Drosophila melanogaster: one gene and its partners. The protein of the gene in region 4 interacts with the protein of the main gene of each other region in a pairwise test. Each region holds a gene or a part of one and is shown on either strand. Other genes may lie near its edges.

Region 1 (6,253 bases), on a different chromosome or scaffold from region 4:
TGATCTTTGTCTGCGCCAAAGTTCACTGACTGCAGAAGGCGAAAATAGTTTTCCACATTTTAACGAGCTTCGGCAAGTAATAGCGAATTTTCTCTATTCATTTGGCTGATGTTCTCCTTTTAGTTTTCATATCAAATGTGCCTTTGCCTTTACAAAACGAGCGTAATTACAACTTGAATTCAAAATTTAGCAAACTATTCCAACGACGCTCGCTGAAAATCTGAATTTTCAGCTGTCTGAATATTTGCGAATATTTTTAACGATAAATACTGAAAAAGGAGGTTAACCAATTTGTTTCACTTGCGGCTGGCGAAAGTGACAACGGAAAAATCACTTCGGTGGACGGGGTGATTTTTACAAATGAGTTTCCGTATTTCATTGAATGCATATGCGATTGCATTCCTGCTATAAATATATTACACATTTTCACTTTCAGTTGGTGTTGCTCAAAACTGAGTCAATGCGATGCGTGGGCGGAATTGCAGCTGCAGTGGCTGAATTTTAATGATCCGACCAAGTGCCAAAAATAAAATTTAAAAAATATGCCAGCCAAGTGTCTAAATAAACGCGTCCATTTAAATAGATATGATGGCGAAAGTGTCAATCTAAATCTGCGTGGGCCGATGGCCAAATGCAAGGAGTCAATGCGCTCATTAAACAAACTAATCCGCGCAAGAAAAAACTGAAATCAAGAGGCAAAATCAATCATGAGAGCGGAAAGAGTTGACAGTCGTATACAAAAAACACAATAGTTCCGGAAGTTCAGGGACTTTGCACACTGAAGGTGAGTTAGTGAACCCACAAAAATGGAAATAAAACGACCTTGGGGGTTTGCCAAAATTGTGGCTAATATGTCAACATTCAGGCAAATAAAATGGCTAATAACTGACAAGAAAAACGATTGAGCAGCTATTACTAAAATATATTATGATTTTAGTGTTTATTCATTAAGAAATAATCCAAAAATTTGTAGCTGTTCGACTGGAAAGTTCTATAAGAGCAGTTTACATTTCGCAGAAACTTTAAATGCCAGTTCTTATTTAATATGTCAATTTAAAAGTTTCAGTTGAATGTATAATACATTTAAATTGCGTGATTGTTTGACTTTGACAACATATTTAAGCCACGTTAAAGCAACAATTTAGAAGGGGATAGCTTTTTATTAGCAAAGTACTAAACTGTGCTACGTGCAAACATCACTTTTATCTGACTCTTGACATTTCCTGCCAACGCTTCAAAACTTTGCAACTCTGCGCACTTGTTCAGCATTTAACCAGCATCGATAAGAATGACGGCACTTTCTCTTGCACTTTCTCCCGTTCGGAAAATGCAGTTTCCCAATAAATCTTAAAGCCTAAGTCTTTTGCTGCAGCTTATAGCTGCGTAGAAACTATACAAATGAGCGGCAATAAATTGCTGGAAGCTGCACTGCTGTGCGTGTGTTCAAGTCTATTTCTCGATTCAATTACGAAGGCGAAACTTCGTTTTCCGGCCACTAAAAGCGAGGAGATGGGTTGCACTACAGTGTCGTCCTTAAATGCGTTATTTTGAATTCAATCAGCTTTTTGCCGTCTAAAAGTATGCAGCACTAATCGGATATACGTTGAACTTTCACGGGAAATCTAAAAGTGCCAGGGCTTCAAAGGGACGAAGGGAAAAGTAAAGTATCGTGTACTCGATATTACGACACTTTCAACTATCGAAAAACCCGGTAGGCCAGTGAGTGTCAGAATTGATGGCACATCCTTCCATCGGCACTTGAGGCAAGTCATTCTTTCGAAAATTGTCGCAGCGAGCAGTGCTCTTGAAAAGTCATAAAAAGTAAAAAATTAAATTCCTCTCATTGAGTCGTTGTGTTCCGTGTCGAGCAGAGTACTTTGATTTTCGCTGTCCAGCACGCCGCGTGTGCCGTTCTCGTTTAGATCCACATACCAAAGTCCAGGCCCCGTTTCAACCAAGAACAACAACACCATCATCCATCACCCATTCGATTCCATACGGTTTTCCCATAAATTTTGAACAATCGAATCTTGACAAAATGGTTACCGACGCCCAGGACACCGTTGCACCTAAGACCAGCAGCACCAAGGAGGTGCAGTGCCAGCACTCCGGCGCCCTGGATGAGCCCCATGTCGAGGAGCTGGCTCTACCGGGCCCCGCCCCCTTGGCCACGCCCAAGAGCGGCCGCGTTGGCATCTTCAATGCCGAGGACTTCTTGTCCCGCGCCCAGTTGAACGACAAGATCAATAACATCTTGCGCTCGCCCACCAAGGCTCCAAATGGTGTGCGCCAGCGTTCCGTATTCACCAACAACAACCCATCGCCGGTGAGTAGAGTTGTCACTTCTCCATAGGATTGCCTTCATTTTGAAGGCATATGCAAAAAATCGTCTCTTTGATTTTTGCAAGTCATTTTTGCAAGTCATATTTTCTTAGCATTTTTTGCAAGTCATCTTTTCTTCCCATTTTTTGCAAGTGATCTTTGATGTACCATGTGATACCTTTTCCCTTACCAATCCCTAGCAAGCCACCATGCGCTTTGTGTCATCGATGAACAGCCCATTGGCTCCACGTATGAGCAGCCTTTCGCTGACTGGCGGAGTGAAGCGCGGCTTGGAGCGCGGCAACAGCAGCAGCAGCATGGGCAACAGCGCCAGCGTGGGCACCAGCACCTCCGTCCTGGCCAAGGAGTGCTCCAGCCAGACAAACAGCTGCGGCCGCAGCTACATGAATATGGGCATGCACGCATCTTCCCACTCGGGCTTCGGAGTCCTGCCGCAATCTGGTGCCGGCTACGAGACCATGGGCTGGAACATGGATGCCGGCAATATTACGCGCAGCGGCAAGAGTCTAACGGGACGCTTCAACTCTGGCTATGGCTATGAGGTGGATGGAGCCTACTGCATGGTAAGTGCTTTGATTTATTGCCCCGTGTTTCGTATTTTAGAAATATGCGATATCTACCTAGCCACAGGCACATCACACCCAGCAGTTCCCATCGCCAATGCCACCACCACCTTTTGCTATGGATCGCGTCAGCTCGCGCACTTTTGAGTTCGAGAACAACACACCACCACCGTGTCCAGGATCTGGACCGATTGCCATGTCCAATGGCACCATCCAGTTGCGCCTGCGCGAGGGCGTTCGGTAAGTGAACGTGGTAGGAGATTTATCCCTTGATCATCATTCCAAATCATTCCCGATTCCAGCATTGACATGACCCTGGACAAGGCTGTCCGTGTGCTGAATCAGCGCAGCATGGTTGCCGCCGCCTTATCGCGCAACTGCAGCAACTCTGCCCTCATCCATCCCAATGGGCGCATCTTGCAGAGCGGCTCCAAGGTGGAGATCGTCACCTACGACGGAATGAAGGCCAACAACTTTGTGTAAGCTTAGAAGTAGAATCGAACCTTTACTTTAAGAGTGGCAAACAACTAGTATTTTGGAATTTAAACTTGTACTTCTCATTAGATTTTCGTATAAAATCTATGCAACTATAGCTGCAATCATTTTCTTCCAGTCGCTATGCCAAAATGTGGTACAAGGGCGTTAGCTTCACCAGCGAGTCCTGTGCCCTCATCTATCTGGTGGACACAGCTGGCACTCGCACCACCACCGATACCTTCACCGACCTGACCAAGGACTACACCTTGGCGGTGTTCTATGAGTGAGTTAAGCACGAAATTTGCCCAAATCAATTCGCCAAGCTCCTCTTTCCAATTAACAACACCCTCCAGCGATTCGCGCCACGGCCCATCCTTTGTGTCCGATGCCCACGACGTAATCGCCAACTCCACCTACAATTGCGCCGAGGACGGCACCGAGGTGTATGACATCAATGGATTCCGCATCACCCAGGCGGCCGACGGCCTGGTCAAGGTCAGCCGCCAGCACAGCAAGTGCCTGATTCGCACCAGTCCGGGCAATGGATCCGCCACCCTGACCACCACCGGCATCCACTGCACGGCTTCGTTGGGCAAGACCTCGCACCTGTTCGTCCGGTGAGTTGGCCACTGCATCCACACCTATTTGCAATAATGATGCACTCGAAGAATGCATTGTTCTCGTCGTATATTTATTCGATTATAACACTGATAGTGTTTAATTGATTCCATACTTTTGCAGTAATTCAGTTAATCGGATATTTGAAGATTCCTTTTGTTCTTTTTTTTTTTGCAGTCGTAATGAGAAGCGCATGCACTTCGACGGATCCTGTTTCATTGTACGCAATGCTGGTCACTCGGCTGGATTCAATGAAAACAACCTGCTCATTGTCTACTAAGTACCGCTCGCACCATGGGATGTGCATCGCGTTGGGTGGCCATCCAAATGCCACCTATAGCCACCCAGCGTGGGCAATCGAAAATCACCCCATTATACCACCACCACACACACATCACAGAAAACACACACACGCAAACCGACTCAAGCGTCGATATAGTGACCCCCCCAAAAAAAAAAATCAAAAAATCCAAACAAAACAACATTGGAAAACTGGGGCCTCGGCGTGGAGAGGGATCAGATCATTTAAGAAAACCTGGTCTTCTAAACAAAAAAAATTATAAATGTATAACTGCATTTAAGATGAAACAGCTCGAAAAAATGCGCGAGCAACGAAAACTGGCGATCCTGATCCTTGAAGGATTGCTTTTCGATTGCTCGACGTAGGCGCAACGCAAACACTAGGGAATTAGTTTTAGATAATCACACTTACAATCTCTCTAGCCCTCGATATCCTTGTTTTTATACGCATACCGTTATTTAGTACAGGCAATTCAGGTGGAATAGGCTCTGGAAAATCCACCTGTTGCCTGAAACGCTGGCCAAGACAATGCTATTTCGATCAGGGCCAGCGTTTGGTGTTATAAAAAGAATGAACTTGGTTCGCGTTTCGCTTCTTTTCGGCCCTCACAGTATAGCAAAATTAAGTTTCCAACGATTTTTTAAACGTTCGACACGTACTTGAAATGCAACAAATTCAGCAAGATTGAAAATCGAAAGTTGCAAAATTTCCACAAAAAAAAAAAAATAAGCAAAAATTGATAAAATCGCTGATATCAAAATTAGCCTCTGCATGATAAAAAATTAGCTAACAAACGACGGCTGCTTTGGCCAACGTAACACCAGTGACAATTCAGTTAGTTCTAAGTTACCAGTTAAGATTAGTTAAGTTACTACAATCCAACCATGTTCATCCTCACACAACACACACACACTCTACAGCGCAAACGTTGCGTAAAATGTAAAATGAGTGGACTTAGTGCTTAAATTTCCAAGTGTAGACGGAATAGTACCACTACCACACTCGTGGAATACAGATACACGCACACATGCACAAGCACACACACACACACACACACACGACAGGCCAAAGTGAGAAATTGTGACTGAAATGGAATACAATTAATTAGCTTACGAAACAAACGCTTATCTGAAAAAGGCAGTCGTCTTTGAAAACAAAGTTAAAACACGTGCACACTTTTAAACACCATTCCTTAAAAAAAAAAAAGTGAAACGCCTTGCAATTATACCTGTGTAGCCTTACAACAACAATCTTCAAAACTCTAAATTTAATCCTCATGTATATCGAAATTTATGTGCACAAAAATCGATGTCAAAAAGTAATACATGAAAGTCCTGAATAAAGTAAATTCTATCTGCGCTACTGTAATAGATTCGTATAATTTTGTTAATTCTCATGGGTTAAATCTGGATCGAGATACAATTTTCAGCGGCTCCTGGCAACCATATATGACCTCATACCTTTCCTCTGGCATTGTAAAAGTACAAGAAAATTGCTTAACGACTACAATTCACATTACAACCCTGTTGGAGGAGTTGTGGCACCTGAAGGGCCATCAGGACTTGAAATCTTTTCGGGCTTAAAGAGTTTGCGAGCTATGTAAATATTTAAAGGAATGAATTGCACGTTTAAAAGTAATTGAATGTTTGCCAAAAAAGGTTTTCATATACAAATATTATAAAAGATGAGAGGTCTTCATGTTTACCTGCAAACAAATCCAAAAGCACAACGATATGGGATCGGCAGTCATGCAGACCAAGCTCTCCAACAGACTTAACCTGGAGTTGGAGCCGGAGGAGCGGCCCGTTGGCAGTGGCTGTTGATAGAGATTAGTGGATAATGCTGGGGCGGAACTATATGCCACGGCTGACTCTGTCATAGGAAGAAAGTGGTTCCATGGTTAGCGGGTACACAGAGAGAAATGGCGGGTGAGCGTAAGCGAGGCGGTGAG
Region 2 (4,172 bases), on a different chromosome or scaffold from region 4:
GCAAAAGAAGCTCAGGGCTGTTGTGGCAGACGATTTACGAGGCAGGCCAATAACAATTGGTCGCCAATGTTATTGGATGAGTTGTGTTTTTTATTGGATCGGAAGACAAAGTTCGGAGGTCGAGCTGACTTAAGCCTTATTGGCTTAATACGTGCGGCTTTCTCCATTGACGTCACTGGTGAAATGTGAGCGGTGTGCTGATGAAACTAGTTCAATGTCGCTGGCCCACTATGACGTCACCGTTGGCAGACATCGCTCATCCGCCACGTCGGCCCAGTCGGCCCAGTCGTCCCAGCCGGCCGGCCTTTGGAATGGGCGTAATATATGGGATCCGCTCGAGATTCGGTGTTCCTCACTCCCACTATCAACCAGCAACATCCATGACCCGATATGCCTTCCAGAAACTTCCCTGCGCCACGTGTCGCGTGTCTGGCGTGCGTGTTTGTAAACAACTGCACTGCCATGTCCTTTTTACTATCAAAACAACAGGACACCAGGGCGCAGGCGCTGGAAGGCTATGCACATTCCACACGGAACAGAGGCTGGAAGTCCTGGAAGGAGGAACGAGAACACAGAGCCCAACACTCCAGGGCGTTCAAATGTGTATACTCGATGTCCTGACTTAAATATTACTTATGATAACAAGTTAAGATAAATAAATATAAAGTTAATATATAGCTTTGTCTAAAGAAACTACCTTGACAAAATGACTGCAATAAATGTTTATATTAAATTCATAAACATTAATTCTAGAAAAGAGCACTAGGCTTTGTGTACTTTTTTTTTCCAAATATTTGTGTTTTCTTCTTCTTTTTTTACAAAAGAAATCATTCATTTATTGAAATATTACTAGTTGTTAACTGGGCCTTATATTCCGGGACGCCACTGTCGCGTTGGGGATGCCCTGCTCTTGCGCACTTTTATTGACAATTTCTTTGTTGTCTGCTCCCCGTTGGTGTTGCTTTTTGGCTCAAATTGCCTGGTTACCGCAGTCATTTGGCCAAGTGGCAAAATCAATAGAGGGAGTTGGAGATGCCAGGAAACAGAAGCCAGGAGCCCATTACCTTATTATAATTGGGAGTATTATCAATCGCAGGACGGCACACACATGAAATGAAACGCCGCCTGCCGCAGGAAATGCGTGGAAGCCAGGAGCCTCTTACTGCTTTTTACTCCAGTTGTAGGAACCGTTGTAGAAAAATAAAATCAATATTATCATTTTGGCGTGCATATTGAGGACAGTCATTGCACTTGGTTTCGCAACACTTGGTTTCCGCTTGTATTTAAGGCATTAACTAAGGATTTCGGACCCCGTTTAGCGTTTAGTTTTTGTGCCTTTTGCGTTTGAGTGTCATTTAACGATGAGTTCGCAAACTCTTGAAAACACGCCTATGACACAAAACTTTCAGGGAGATATGGGAAATCTCTGTTTTTCGCTTAACTTCACAATTTATTATAATTTAGTTTGTATTTAATATGTCCATTTATTTCGAGGATGTGCTGCACAGTTGGACGTGAAAAACTCGACTGTGGCTTACGAACTGAATGAGCACAGCATTTCCACTTTCCAGTCCGATTTCCAGTAACCTTCCAACCACTGATTCCCGTTATGCTTTGTTGCTTGAACAAGCCTTCTCCGTGTCCTTAGAAGTTCGACCTGACGTCGTCCTTTGTTGAGCAAGAAAAATATGACTGCCTTCTTTCAACAAAATATTAAAAAGATTATTTACTACCATTTAAACTCTACTTGACCACTTGAGTTCTTTGGGCAAATAATCTACCAATTCACTTTTAATGTATACTTTTTTTTTTAGAATTCTTCGCTTTAATTATAGAAGATTTTTAAAAAATTATTTAAACATAAAAACAACCAATGAGCATAACATGTCATGGAACTGATTTCGAATATAAGGAATTTTACAAACATGACTCGGCGATAATTCCAGCAAGATGTTGTGCTTATGAGAACAATGTCAACGCGGATTTTGAGCCACAGCGCAGTCCGACTTTCATTACTGGCAATGGCAATCCTGGCGAGCGTTGGACAAGCGACCGACCGATCCGAAGGAAGATCAGTACGCAGGTACTCATATGCGGATACCTCGTGGCCCAGGCGGCCGTTCGGCAGCGAGCGAAGGGACTTGGCGCCTTCGGAGCAGCGATACTTCTCCGATCCGGAACTGCTCTTCCAGCGGCTGGACGACATGGAGCAGAAATTGGGAATTCCAGAAAAAATGGCTGCTGCTGGCAAGGTGAAATCGGAACACTATCTGGTTGGTCCCACGAATGTTGCCGCCCAGATGCTCAAAGATAACTTGTACAAATTTCCGATTGATGACGGCGCCATTGGACAGGGAATGCACGATGATTGTCTGGGTAAGGAGGATGTGGATGATCCCTTCGAGTCCCTGGCCAGGATGAACTTCAATGAGCATTTGAATGAGCGTAAGTCCGATCGTGAGCTCAAGAGGGTGCTGGGTGGCTACTTAAACGACCAGCAGCTGGATGGAAAACCAGCTGTGGCAACAGCCAATTTGCTGGCCAAGGTCATTAGCTCCAAGGTCGATCAGCCCAGGAAGTCTGGGCCTTGTCGTGGCACCACGGCTCGATCCCACGGGTTCACCACAAGAAGCCCTACGACTCATCGGACGACCCTTAGTACCACAACGCGCAGTCCCACCACTTTCTGCCTTCCGGAACCCTCATCCGATCCTCCGCTCAAGCCGCTTCCCACATCTCCACCAACACCTCGTCCTCCGCCTTCCGCACCTTCGCGTCCACCAACGACGCGAAAGCCATCTGCTCAAAGGATTAAGCCCAGTAATAAGTGCCCCATATCGACGAAATCTCAAAAGCTAGGAGGTGCCAAGGTGCTGCTGGAAATCATTTTGGCCACCAAGCAGCATGCCCTATCGGTGCTCAAGAATCTCAACTACCTGGAATTGGAACTGCTAAGTCACTCAACGGACGACGATGTATCGGAGAACCACGTTAAAGAGAAAGAACCAACAACAAAGACGTCTGAACGTATCGAAAAACCCGAGCCAAGGCCACCATCCAGGGTATTTTCCTTTGGAATTCGACCAGCGAGCCAAAAAGAGAGCTTGTACGACTTGGCAGTGGCCAAGGAGGAGGAGTTGAAACTGCAGGATCGGGTGTGGGAGGAGCACCAGCAGCAGATGAAGCTAAGGAGGCCAATGAAGCCAAAGAGGTTTGAGGTTGCTCCGGCGGCTGCTGCACGCCTGGAACCTTTTCAGGAGCCTCGAAAGCCACTGAAGTCCATAAATTCCATGGAGCCTTTTACTCCTTTGGAACCAGAAACCTCCGACGACAACAGACGTATCAATCTGGAAGCCTTGAGCGTGGTAGTCAAGCCAATGTCCTCCTTTCCCAGAAAGGATTCTCTTAGCTCGTCGCCGCGAGCACAAATGAATGCTGTTCAATTGGAGGGCACAAGCGATGATGAACTGCATCCAGGCAATACATTTGAATTGAGACCAAGAAAGAAGAAAAAACACAAGTTGTACGCTATGGAAAAGCAGACACAGACTAAAAAGCTACCCATTGCAGGAGTTTTTTATTAAGTCATTTGTATAAATATTAACAGAGTTTTATTGAAACATTTATTCAACACTTAAATATATTTTAAAAATAAGAAGTTTGAATTTTGGCGCCAATACGTTAACCCTAAGACAGTGCTTGCTTATAGCTTTTCGTATTTATATGCCACTTGACGTATTTTTTGACATCCAGCCCACGGTCTCACTAGAAGGCGCCGAAAATTTTAGAAACGTCAAGCGAGAATGAACTCCCGTATTGTTGTGTTAAAAGGAACTTCGTTCGGGATCATCGGAATATTCATTTCTCAGGAAAACCCCAATAGTCTCATTTATGCAGTTTGCAGTGCATATCTTGCTGAGACTCGATTTTTATTAATTGTTTAATAGTTTGGTAAGGACAGAAAACTCACAATATCGCATTACGACACATTCTTTGTATTTGCACAAACGAAATCAAATTCTAAAATATAGATCAAAATAATTTAATTCTGCGTCTGCGCCGCCGCTTTCGTCCATCTCTTTCTCGTCTCTATTCTCTTTATTTTTTGCCCCTTGTCCGTCTTATTTTTCTAGCCCTGTGTTTGCCAATTTTATTGTGCACACTGAAAGAAT
Region 3 (4,883 bases), on a different chromosome or scaffold from region 4:
TTTTGGTTTGCCTTTCGTTTAAAACTTAATCAGGTTATCAAGTAAGCGTAACTACAACCTACAATTGGAAATTTTATATGTTTTTGCAATAATAAACATCAGATTGTTGGTTATACTTTAAGGTTTCCATCAGCTTAATAATCAATTTAATTTAAGCAGCTCGAGCAATGACATAGATTTTAAAATTGGTTAATTTGAGAGAGTATTAGATGATAGGCTTCTACTTTTATTTGAGGTGTTTAACGCGTTCTGTCATAGCAACGCTTCGAAAGCTAATATAAAGGCAATTAAGAGTGTCTGGAGAAACTTCACGTAATCTGCGGGATCTCAAGTTATTAAAAATATGTTGTAATGAAGGGAATGTAGTTTTTAAGAGACCACAGAAGTCGTTTTTTTTTTTTATTTCGCACACATTTCGTACAATGTATGCAAACGAATCGCAAAGGAAATATCAAATCGCTTGAGGCTTTAAGAAAACCACATTCACAACAGTTTCCACAGTCTGTGATCCAGGCATGTCATTTGACATTTCACCAAAAAAAAAAAAACGAAAAAAAAGAAGAGAATAACAACAAAAACACAAAGAAAGCAAAATATAACCAAAGCAAATAAAATAAAATATTTTGCGAAGAAGCCGAACAAAAAATGAAGACAGACTTTGTTGTCCTTGTCAGCGTGGCTACAACTTCCTTGGCCCAGGACGACGTCGGAAGTGCCAGCGGAAATGAGTAAAAAACCTACAACTCACTCAAAATTCCCGCTCACTCCCATCTCACTCGCACTCGAACAATGGGAAATTCCGTTTCGAGTGAAATTTTGTGCCACAAACGAACGCACTTCGGCTGCTTTCGGCCATCGCCTCGTATTCCCACTCACTCGACATTGAGCGTTTGTGGAGCATCCTCAGAGATGCCAAATATTTTGGGGGGGAAAAAAAGCTGAAAATAATTATTTTCCAATTTCTTAAGGTTCGCATGAAACCCGTATACTTGCATCATTGTTTAACGTTTTGGTGAAATGTTGTGATAAAATGAGTTTAAGTTTTAAAATAAATCGCACTATTTTTTGGCTCTTTACCATATCAAAATGTATATACTAAAATGAGCTTGAAAGTGGGCGGCGAAAATATGTTGATGTTAAGAAATGCATCTGGATATCGAGCAGACGTTTCCCATAATTTATTTTTATTAAGTTTTTATTTCTTAATCTCTATAGAAAAGCAAGATATTATAGATCACTGTCAGTTTTCATATTCACATCCGTAAATCTAATAGGAAACAATTTTTGTTTAAAAGAAATAATTAAAAGCTAAGATCCGTCATAAATAGTACTGTCAATTTGAGAGGCTAGAAAAATAAGATAATACATATCAGCTTATAATTTTTAAATTTCTTTTCGGGAAATTAATTTTTAAGCGTGGGAAATGGACAAAAATTGCTAGATTCTCGCAAGTATTTTATTTTATGGTGTGATATTCTTCTAAAATTAGATATTTTTATTAATACGTATTTTTTTTTTTAACAAGTGGAATCCAATTAGTTTGTTTTATTATGTTAATGATTGTTAGTATTAAAAAAAAAACTTCTATAGATATTGGGCAAACAACTCAATCAATTTTAGGTAGTAACATAATAAAGTAATAAATACGAATACAATTCTTTTTGGTTGATAGAAAAGAATAAGACAGTGAGCGGCTGGAAAAACTAGCCAGAGTTGTCGGGAAAGCCGGCTAAGTAAGCAGCACTGGCGGGTCGACAACAGCAGTGGCAGCATCCGCCGTGGCAGCGGCAACAGTCGAGCGGCAGACTCGATGCAGCAGAGCCACAAATTCCGGCATTACGTATACGCCCAGTCTACGTCGAGTTGGCCACGTGTACGGACACGCGGCGCGGTTCGCTTTCTCCGGTGACAGCACATTCGATATTAACGTTTCACTACCAAAAAAAAAAAAACATCGCGATTGGTTGCTAATAGACAAGCACCAGAGATACGATTTTAAAATCTTAAGGTTTTGCTTTTGTTCAAAAGAAATACAAATTTTTTTGTTTGGTTGTTTGTGTGACAGTGACAGTGCCAGTGTGAAAGTGTGTGTGTGTGAAAAGCTTGCCGGCTTGAAAAATGCGCGCCAAAAATTGAGATATTTTCGCGGAGCGCAGCGGCAACAAAAACAAATAAAAACAACATTTCGCAACGCAGCCAAAGGAGGCGACAACACGCAAATAGTAATATATACATATATATATAAATTAAACATATGCACATATACATATATATATTAGATGGCAGCTTTGCAATGTAAACAAATTATATTTCCGTGTTTTCTTAAAATAACAAATCTATTTGCCGATATTTACCAATTAATTAGTGGGCTAGTGACAATATTAAGTTGCAAAGGATAACAATTATAAAATAAATACGTATACTGCTGCATTCCGCATAATAGGCAATAAATATGTTTGCGAATATATTAATCAAATCAAGGCATTATGGCTGTGGTAGCTGAATGAAATTTGCATAAATCAAGCTTCAATGATCCAGAGGGCACATTAGTCTCTTTTAGCCTGTAGTTGTAAAAGTTGTTCGGTTTTAGCCAACAAAATGGAAATGAAAAGGCAAAAAGTGGATGTGTCATAAAAATTCCTTTTGCACAGAAGGCGTCCATTATGCGGATTCTAAAGCAATATTAAAATAATCTCTAGTAATTTCCTAGTAAGTGCCCACTTAAATGAGTTTTTCTTTTTTATTAGTGCGCTTTAAGTCTTTGATTTTATTTTAATGCGTCTTGGGATATATTTATACATATTATTAATTGTTAATTTGTTCAGCAGTTTTAGATCGAATATACTTGCGATTAAACATTTCTAAACATTTTGAAAAGTGTTCGATTTTTTGTTGTTTTTATTATTTATCTCATATAAGCTACAATATATGTTGAAAGATTTCGAATGAATGTTTAATTTAAACTATTTTGTCGCATTCGTTTGGAAACTTCGACCGTATTTTCTATGTATCCCGTATAGATAAGTTTGGGGCCACTTAGCGAATTGGCGGACATATTTTTAGACATAGCCCAAATAGTAAAAAAACAAGAGCAGAACGAGTAAGCGAAGAGGGGAAAATTGTATAAAAACCAAAGACACGAACGCAGAGGCTATAGAGAATTGGTGAAAAATGAGAGAAATTCATTAATAAAAGACAGCAACAAAAACAAGAGCAAAAATTAAACGGCTGCCATCAGGCTTTCCCACTTCTCTCACCAATTTTCCCTTTCGTTTTCCCGCTTTTCCTTGTCCACGGCACAGCTGTGATCACACGAAGAGAAAGAAAAAACAGAAGAAAATTCGGAAAAAAATGAAAATAAAAATTATTACATATGCGTAATGGGTATTTTGTGTTGTTGCTGCTGTTATTGAAGAAGATTTTCCAAGCTACAACTACAACAATTCCGTTAGCGCCAACTTTGACGAAGGTTTTCCATCGGCTTTTCTTTAAATACCCTCGCGAATACGCAGTGTATGGATTAGGGATTGATGAACTATGCTATTAGGTTAAATAAAAATATACTCCGCAAAACAATAATAATCATTTGGGCTTGCAAAACTGAATGCAATCTTTATTTATTGCATTAGTAGATTGAATAAATTAATTGTTTACGGGGTATTGTGTTGGTTGTTAATTGTCCATTAACTTAATTTCCCAGTGTTTTCTCTGTTTTGTTGCCGTCTCAATGAATTCACTAGACTTCCAATCGTCCCATCTCTTTCGCATGCTGTGCAGCCATCTCTCTCTATCGGTGGCTGACAAAGTTTTGCATTATGTTCATCTCGTCTGTCGCTCTTCTATATCCCATTCCCACATATGTGGCTCAAGGCTATCTTATACACGCACTTTCAGCGCCCTCGTCGATTTCTTAGTTTTTCTTCTCATTTTCCATTCATTTTTGCTGCTCCCATTTCGGTTTTCTTAAATTTTTTCAGCATGTTGCCCTCATAAATTTGGGCGAGGCAAACAAAATTTTTGTGGTAAACTTTTATTCACGAGGGTTTTTTTTATTTTTGAAGGGAAACTTCGATGGTAATTAATGGCATGTTGACCAGCTGGTCAAATAGGGAAAAGGATTATTCCTGCCTTTTAAGGACTAAAGTAAAGGATGAGTTCTTACTCCAAAAGAAAGCTTAAATCATATTATTTTCTTCTTCTGTGTATTCTTATTTTGTTCAAGAAGAATGTATCCAGCATTCAACAATTACAAATCAATGTTTAATAGCAATATTTATTTGTACTCCGTATTTTCTGAGTGTGATTATATTGTTGTTCAGATTTTCTCCATTGATTTTAATTCAACCATTTCGTTTTTGTGATCCTTTTAATTTTCTTAGCCATGTTGTAATTTCCCTTCTAGTTTTTCCACATTGGACTCCATTTAGTTTTATCTCTCTGCAGCTGTGCTGAGATTAAATTTTGTTCAATTTTTGTAACCATTTATTTCAATAAAATTAAGCCAAAAGTTTTTACAGTTAAGCCCAAACTTCCTTTGGCGATTTCGGTTAGCTTAACTGCTTTCCGCCTCCTTTGACCACCCATTTCCTTTGTGTCCCGAGCAACAGGTCCTCTCTCATTTGCTGGGATTTCTTCTTATTTATTATTTGTGTCTGTCCACAGTGTTTTCATTTCTTTCCCCGTATTATTTTTGGCCGCAAAAAAGTCTGATCTTAAAGCCTTTTTGCATTGTGCGGCGATTTTCGCAGCAATTTCCCGTGGAATGTGAAACTAATTGCAGCTGGACTTGGGTGGTTGGAAAACGCAATGGCATACAACTAATCAGAACGGAAAAAGAGCAGAAAAGCCTGGAAATGGGCATGCGAATGGGAATGGGAATGGGC
Region 4 (5,068 bases):
CTGCTGGATAGCTTCTTTTACAACCTGAGTGACCACCAGTTCGCCATGAAGTGGAACGTGTACGCATGGCCGCACCAGATAATGGTGCGATTATCGACATTGAAGGACGAGCAGAAGGTGGACATCGAGGACTTTCTCCGCCTGCACGCCAGCGAGTGCCAAGCGTTCGAGGAGCGTCTGGAGTCCCTCAACGACGAGGTGCAGGCCTACTCACTGGCGTTTAACACGAACCGCGCACAGGAGACGTCAGTGGACATTAAGAAGACGTGGGCTCTGATTAAGGAGCTCGAGAAGGTCAGCCAAACTCTGCAATTTCGGCAGGAGCTATTTGAGCTGGAGCCACTCTCTGTTGAGTTCCTGGAGAGCATAATCGCTAGCTTCACTCCCTACAAGAACCTGTGGTACGGCTGCGCCAACTTTCTGAAGCTCGAGGACGCTACCTTGGGCAACCCGATAGCGCAACTGGACTTGGAAGATGTGTGGAATAACTTGATGAGGCTTCGCGACGAACTCAACGAGTCAATGAAAATATTTCATGAAAAAGTCGAGATCATGGATGTGGCCAAAACGTTCATTGCAAAGATCGACGATTTCGTTCCAGTTTACAACAGCATTAAGGATATCCGAAATGAGAACTGGATGTACATTCACTGGCAAGAACTAAGCGCGATAACTGGCCAGGAGATTAAGTACTCAGTGGCGATGAACTATCAGTACCTCATTCGTAAGGGCATCTTGGACGTCCTGCCCGAAGTCCACATCATCTCGGAGAAGGCCAACAACGAGGCGGAGGAAATTCGGCGAGCCATCGAGGAAGAAGAGAGGCGAAAGCAGGCCGAATTGAATGCTATGTTGTTGCGCAAACAGCTCCGCAAGTGTCGCCGGGATATACTATAGTTTGTTGTTGAAATCGTTCGTTAGTTCCTGCCCGAAACATTTCTGGGCAGGCTCAGGGCGTGGCTCGACCGGGGTCTTGGATAGTGTTCTGTGTTGTCCTTCTTATATCATTTATTCGTAGAGTAAAATGCTATACTAAAGTAGTCATAAAAGGCGGAAGGAAGCATGTATGTACGACCATATAAAGTATATATACTTTTTACCAGGATCAATAGCCGCTATACAGTCATAGCATATTATAGTCACAGTAGGGTTAATGCAAATCATGGTTAGATCTACAATGATTTAAGATTAGGGGTATGTAATTTCAAGTGAATCTGCTTGGAACACAGAAATGTTGTAAATAACAGTGAGAACTAACATTATTAGCAAATATTAAAACATAACCATTAGGAACATTGAATTTTTCCAAATGAATTAAAAAAGAGCCATTTCCTCACAAAAATTATTTGAACACATCTTGTTGAAACAAGAAATTCTTCTGTTCCCGCCCAAGTTTTGAAACACTGGTAATCAAGATTATCTTAAAAATCCATATCCATAGACTTTTTCATTTAATCTTCTATTAAGACCACTACCAACTACATGGCAAACCGTTACAAAATCAAAATCTCCTTTGAATCTATATCTGCGAAGCATATTGGCGAGGAAGGAAGCTACATACATATGTATGTAGTGTAAGTTATACGACGACGCTTACTCCATTTGGCGGGTATCTGAAACGGAAGCCGTTTAACAAAAGTTTTAATATATTGCTCTAAAAACTCCTATATGTGCTATCGTACAAATCTTTAAATACTTCTAAAAAAAAAACCATATTTATTTTTAATTTTTAAGTTGTTTGGACCTTAATAAGAAATATTTATTTATAAGACATAAAAAAATTATTAAAAAAATGATATTTTTATTGAAACAGAACAGTATTATTATAGTATTTATGGAATTTTTTTATGTATCGGAATGGTCACACTGCTGCGTTGTGTTTCTTGTAAAATTTTTGTCCATCGCAATAGCTGCTGCTTATTTCTGCATTTCTGAGAAACTACAATGGCAGATGACACAAATGAGGACAGCTGGCTGTATGGCACCTCGAATCCTGACTCGACGACCGGCGAGCTGGGCAACGGCGGGGATTCTCTGACGGCGGAGCACGAGTCGGCGGCGGCTGAGGCTCAGGCATTGGCCGAATTGGTGGCCGGCGAAAAGCCGGGCGCTTCGGCCGGAACTAACTCCACTGAAGACTCGCCGCGCTGTCCAAAGGAGGAGGTGCCCGAGTACTCGGAGTTCGACGATCCCGCGCAGGAAATGGAGGAGGACGAGGATGCCTTGCCCAACACGGACAGCAGGAGCAGGAGGGAGCGCGACCGAGAACGGGATCGTGGTCGGTGCGCGGACAGGGCCGACGCCCGATCATCGCCAGACCCAGAGGACGACGAGATGAGCGATGGTCCTGCCGCGAGGAGAGAAAGGAACGGCTCAGGGTCCGATGATGATGAAGACGACGACTCTGACGACGATATCAACGTGGTTATCGGAGACATTAAACAGGCCCCCAGCACCTACAACATCAAGCAGCGACCCAACCTGCTGGCTGGAGGCACTGGTGCTGCCGGAGACAAGGCCAAGCCGGCTGGTCAGGCAGGGAAGTTTAGCATCGAGGACTTCGAAGGTGCCGGCACCATCAACGGAGTGGCCGTGCACGAGTTCAGTATCGATTCGCTTGAGGAGAAGCCGTGGCGAAAGCCGGGAGCGGATATTACCGACTACTTCAACTATGGCTTTAACGAAGAGACGTGGCGCGCCTATTGCGAGCGCCAGAAACGCTTCCGCGTGGCGGAGAGTGGTGTCGGACTGGCCAGCCTCACTCAGAATGTGAATCAGAATGCCCCCATTGGAATCCTCACAGATGGCGGTATGGGCATGGGCCCTCCCGGAATGCACAGTATCCAGTCCATGGTGGGAATGGGCGGTGAAAGCGGCATGCAAATGCCCCCGCCGGGAATGCCGCCGCCTATGATGCAACACCAGTCGCGATCCGGGATGGGATTGATGCAGCGCCCGCCAAGACCCATCTCAACCACAGGCGGCGATAGGGGAGGTGACCGGGAGAGAGCCGTTAAGGAGAACGCCATTCAGGTGATGACCGCCGAGTGCCGCGAGTATTCTCGTGGGGGATTGGGACCCATGGCGCCAAACTTCCCGCTACCCGGCGCCTCTGAGGAACCCTTCTTCCACGAGCCAGAACCCTTTGACTACGGCTATGAGCCCACCCAAGAGTCGCAGTGGAACAATGACAATGCCGGATGGGTACCCAGCGGGATTAAAGAGCTTACTCCTGGTCATGCTCATATGCAACAACCTCCGCCTGGCATGCCGCCTCCTGGGATGAGTGTGCCACCGCCGCAGATGGGCGGTCCACCACCCAATTTGCGCGGCATTATGCCACCCAACATGCGCATGCCGCCAAATATGAGTGCGTTCAGCATATTTATATTTATCATGTCCTGGACCCGGCTTATCTATGTTTTCTCTTGCAGACATGGGACCGCCACCAGGAATGATGATGGGAGGAAATGCCCCGCCACAGATGCGAATGGGTATGGCACCGCCACAGAGATTGGCCATGGGCGGTAAGAACACAACTAACATAATTAAGCTACTCTTACGTCATATTCTTGCAATTTGTTTGTTAAGCTAAATGCTAATCTGACGATCCTAACGCAGTCCTTTTTATGAAAATGCCTTTTTCCTATACGTTTCAGATCGTGGCGCCTACGACGACGATCGTGAGCGCAGGAGGCGCGAGAAGGAAAAACTGTTGAAGAAAGATCAGGTATGTTTTATACATAAATATCAAGTCATGGAATTATAATTATCATTTTTGTACAGCTGAGAAAGGACTTCCTTGACATGCTGCGGGAGCGACATGACATCGAAAGGCACACCAGGTGGTACGATATTAAGAAAAAGTTTGAGGCGGATCCAAGGTACCGAGCCCTGGACTCGTCCTATCGTGAGGAGTACTTCGAAGACTATTTGCACCTGCTGAAGGAAGAGAAGCGCAAGGAACGTGACCTAAAGGAACGTGAACGACATCGCGACAAAGAGCGGTCTCGTGACAAGGACAAGGATAAAGATAAAGAAAAGGACAAAGATAAAGATAAGGATAAGGAAAAAGATAAAGAGAAGGATAAGGACAAAGATAAGGAGAAGGAAAAGGATAAAGAGAGCTCCCGTCGGGAGCGCTCTCGATCTCGCGAAAAGTCCAGCCGTCGCAAGTCCAAGTCCCGTGAGAAAGATCGAAGCGAACGAAGCAGCAAGAGTAGCAGCAGCAATACCGGAGGATCCTCCAGTCGTAGCGAAAAGAAAAAATCGCATCGCAAGGACAAAGAAGAGGACGACTAGCATTTGGTTAGGTACTTTATGGAAGTGAAGCAAGAAGAAATCCACTAAGTTGTAGAACATATTAATAAAAACAAAAATCAAACTAAATGTTTTATAACGCCGTTGGTCAGTTTAAATATATGTACGTTAGGTTTTCAATAATTCAATGTGAATAAGCCCTTAAATTTAATAAAGGTGACATGTGCGATCATGTGGTATTCTTGTGGTATTCTTGATCCGTGTCATCAGACGAGTCGATGGATGTTTGTTTTCAAATTAAAACATCCCAACCCTTTTCTTTTTATTTTTGGGATTAAATTGGCCCACTATATAATATAGTTGGCACAGAAAAAATGGAAAAACACCATTAACGAGATCTCGACGTTCATACGAACGAAGAGAGGGACGTGGGATGGATTGACACTTATTTGCATTTTTCAATACTAAAAATGGGTTATTAACATAAATAATGAAATCACGAAGAAACTATAAATTCAATAATATAGTAATCGAATTAGAAAATTACAGCAACCAAAAATAAAAAATAGTACGGTACAGCCAAACAAATAGTAAAGTATTGATGATAAAAAGGAGTGCAATTAAAGTTACACGCGAGAGGTATATTTTGCCGTTTACCTTTTCAATTATCCTTCTGCTGATAAGAAAGCTAGACAGACAACGATTTGGGCGATGGCAAATGTATTTAGACGCATTTAATTAGTTCGCCTTGATCATTGAAATTTTTTTAAAATTTTTTTTAGATCAATTGAACAATAAATAATTAAAT

The links.
Region 1: the proteins of Fip1 (region 4) and fest interact in a two-hybrid assay, tested with the Drosophila melanogaster proteins (one large-scale study listed by BioGRID).
Region 2: the proteins of Fip1 (region 4) and CG13871 interact in a two-hybrid assay, tested with the Drosophila melanogaster proteins (one large-scale study listed by BioGRID).
Region 3: the proteins of Fip1 (region 4) and Neto interact in a two-hybrid assay, tested with the Drosophila melanogaster proteins (one large-scale study listed by BioGRID).

Annotation. Positions count from the first base shown.
Region 1 is NT_033778.4:19,340,046-19,346,298, forward strand, and holds fest (wurstfest), read left to right. Parts: upstream 1-1,763; 5' UTR 1,764-2,038; coding exon 2,039-2,326; intron 2,327-2,522; coding exon 2,523-2,906; intron 2,907-2,967; coding exon 2,968-3,146; intron 3,147-3,208; coding exon 3,209-3,385; intron 3,386-3,519; coding exon 3,520-3,666; intron 3,667-3,736; coding exon 3,737-4,000; intron 4,001-4,178; coding exon 4,179-4,281; 3' UTR 4,282-5,709; downstream 5,710-6,253. Other genes in the region: Rgk1 (Rad, Gem/Kir family member 1), read right to left, coding at 6,008-6,052.
Region 2 is NT_033778.4:20,315,387-20,319,558, forward strand, and holds CG13871 (uncharacterized protein), read left to right. Parts: upstream 1-1,936; 5' UTR 1,937-2,021; coding exon 2,022-3,584; 3' UTR 3,585-3,653; downstream 3,654-4,172.
Region 3 is NC_004354.4:13,444,056-13,448,938, forward strand, and holds the start of Neto (neuropilin and tolloid-like), read left to right. Parts: upstream 1-1,847; 5' UTR 1,848-2,222; intron 2,223-4,883.
Region 4 is NT_033777.3:4,483,162-4,488,229, forward strand, and holds Fip1 (factor interacting with poly(A) polymerase 1), read left to right. Parts: upstream 1-1,846; 5' UTR 1,847-1,944; coding exon 1,945-3,370; intron 3,371-3,434; coding exon 3,435-3,527; intron 3,528-3,659; coding exon 3,660-3,730; intron 3,731-3,786; coding exon 3,787-4,302; 3' UTR 4,303-4,516; downstream 4,517-5,068. Other genes in the region: sac (sterile affecting ciliogenesis), read left to right, coding at 1-897.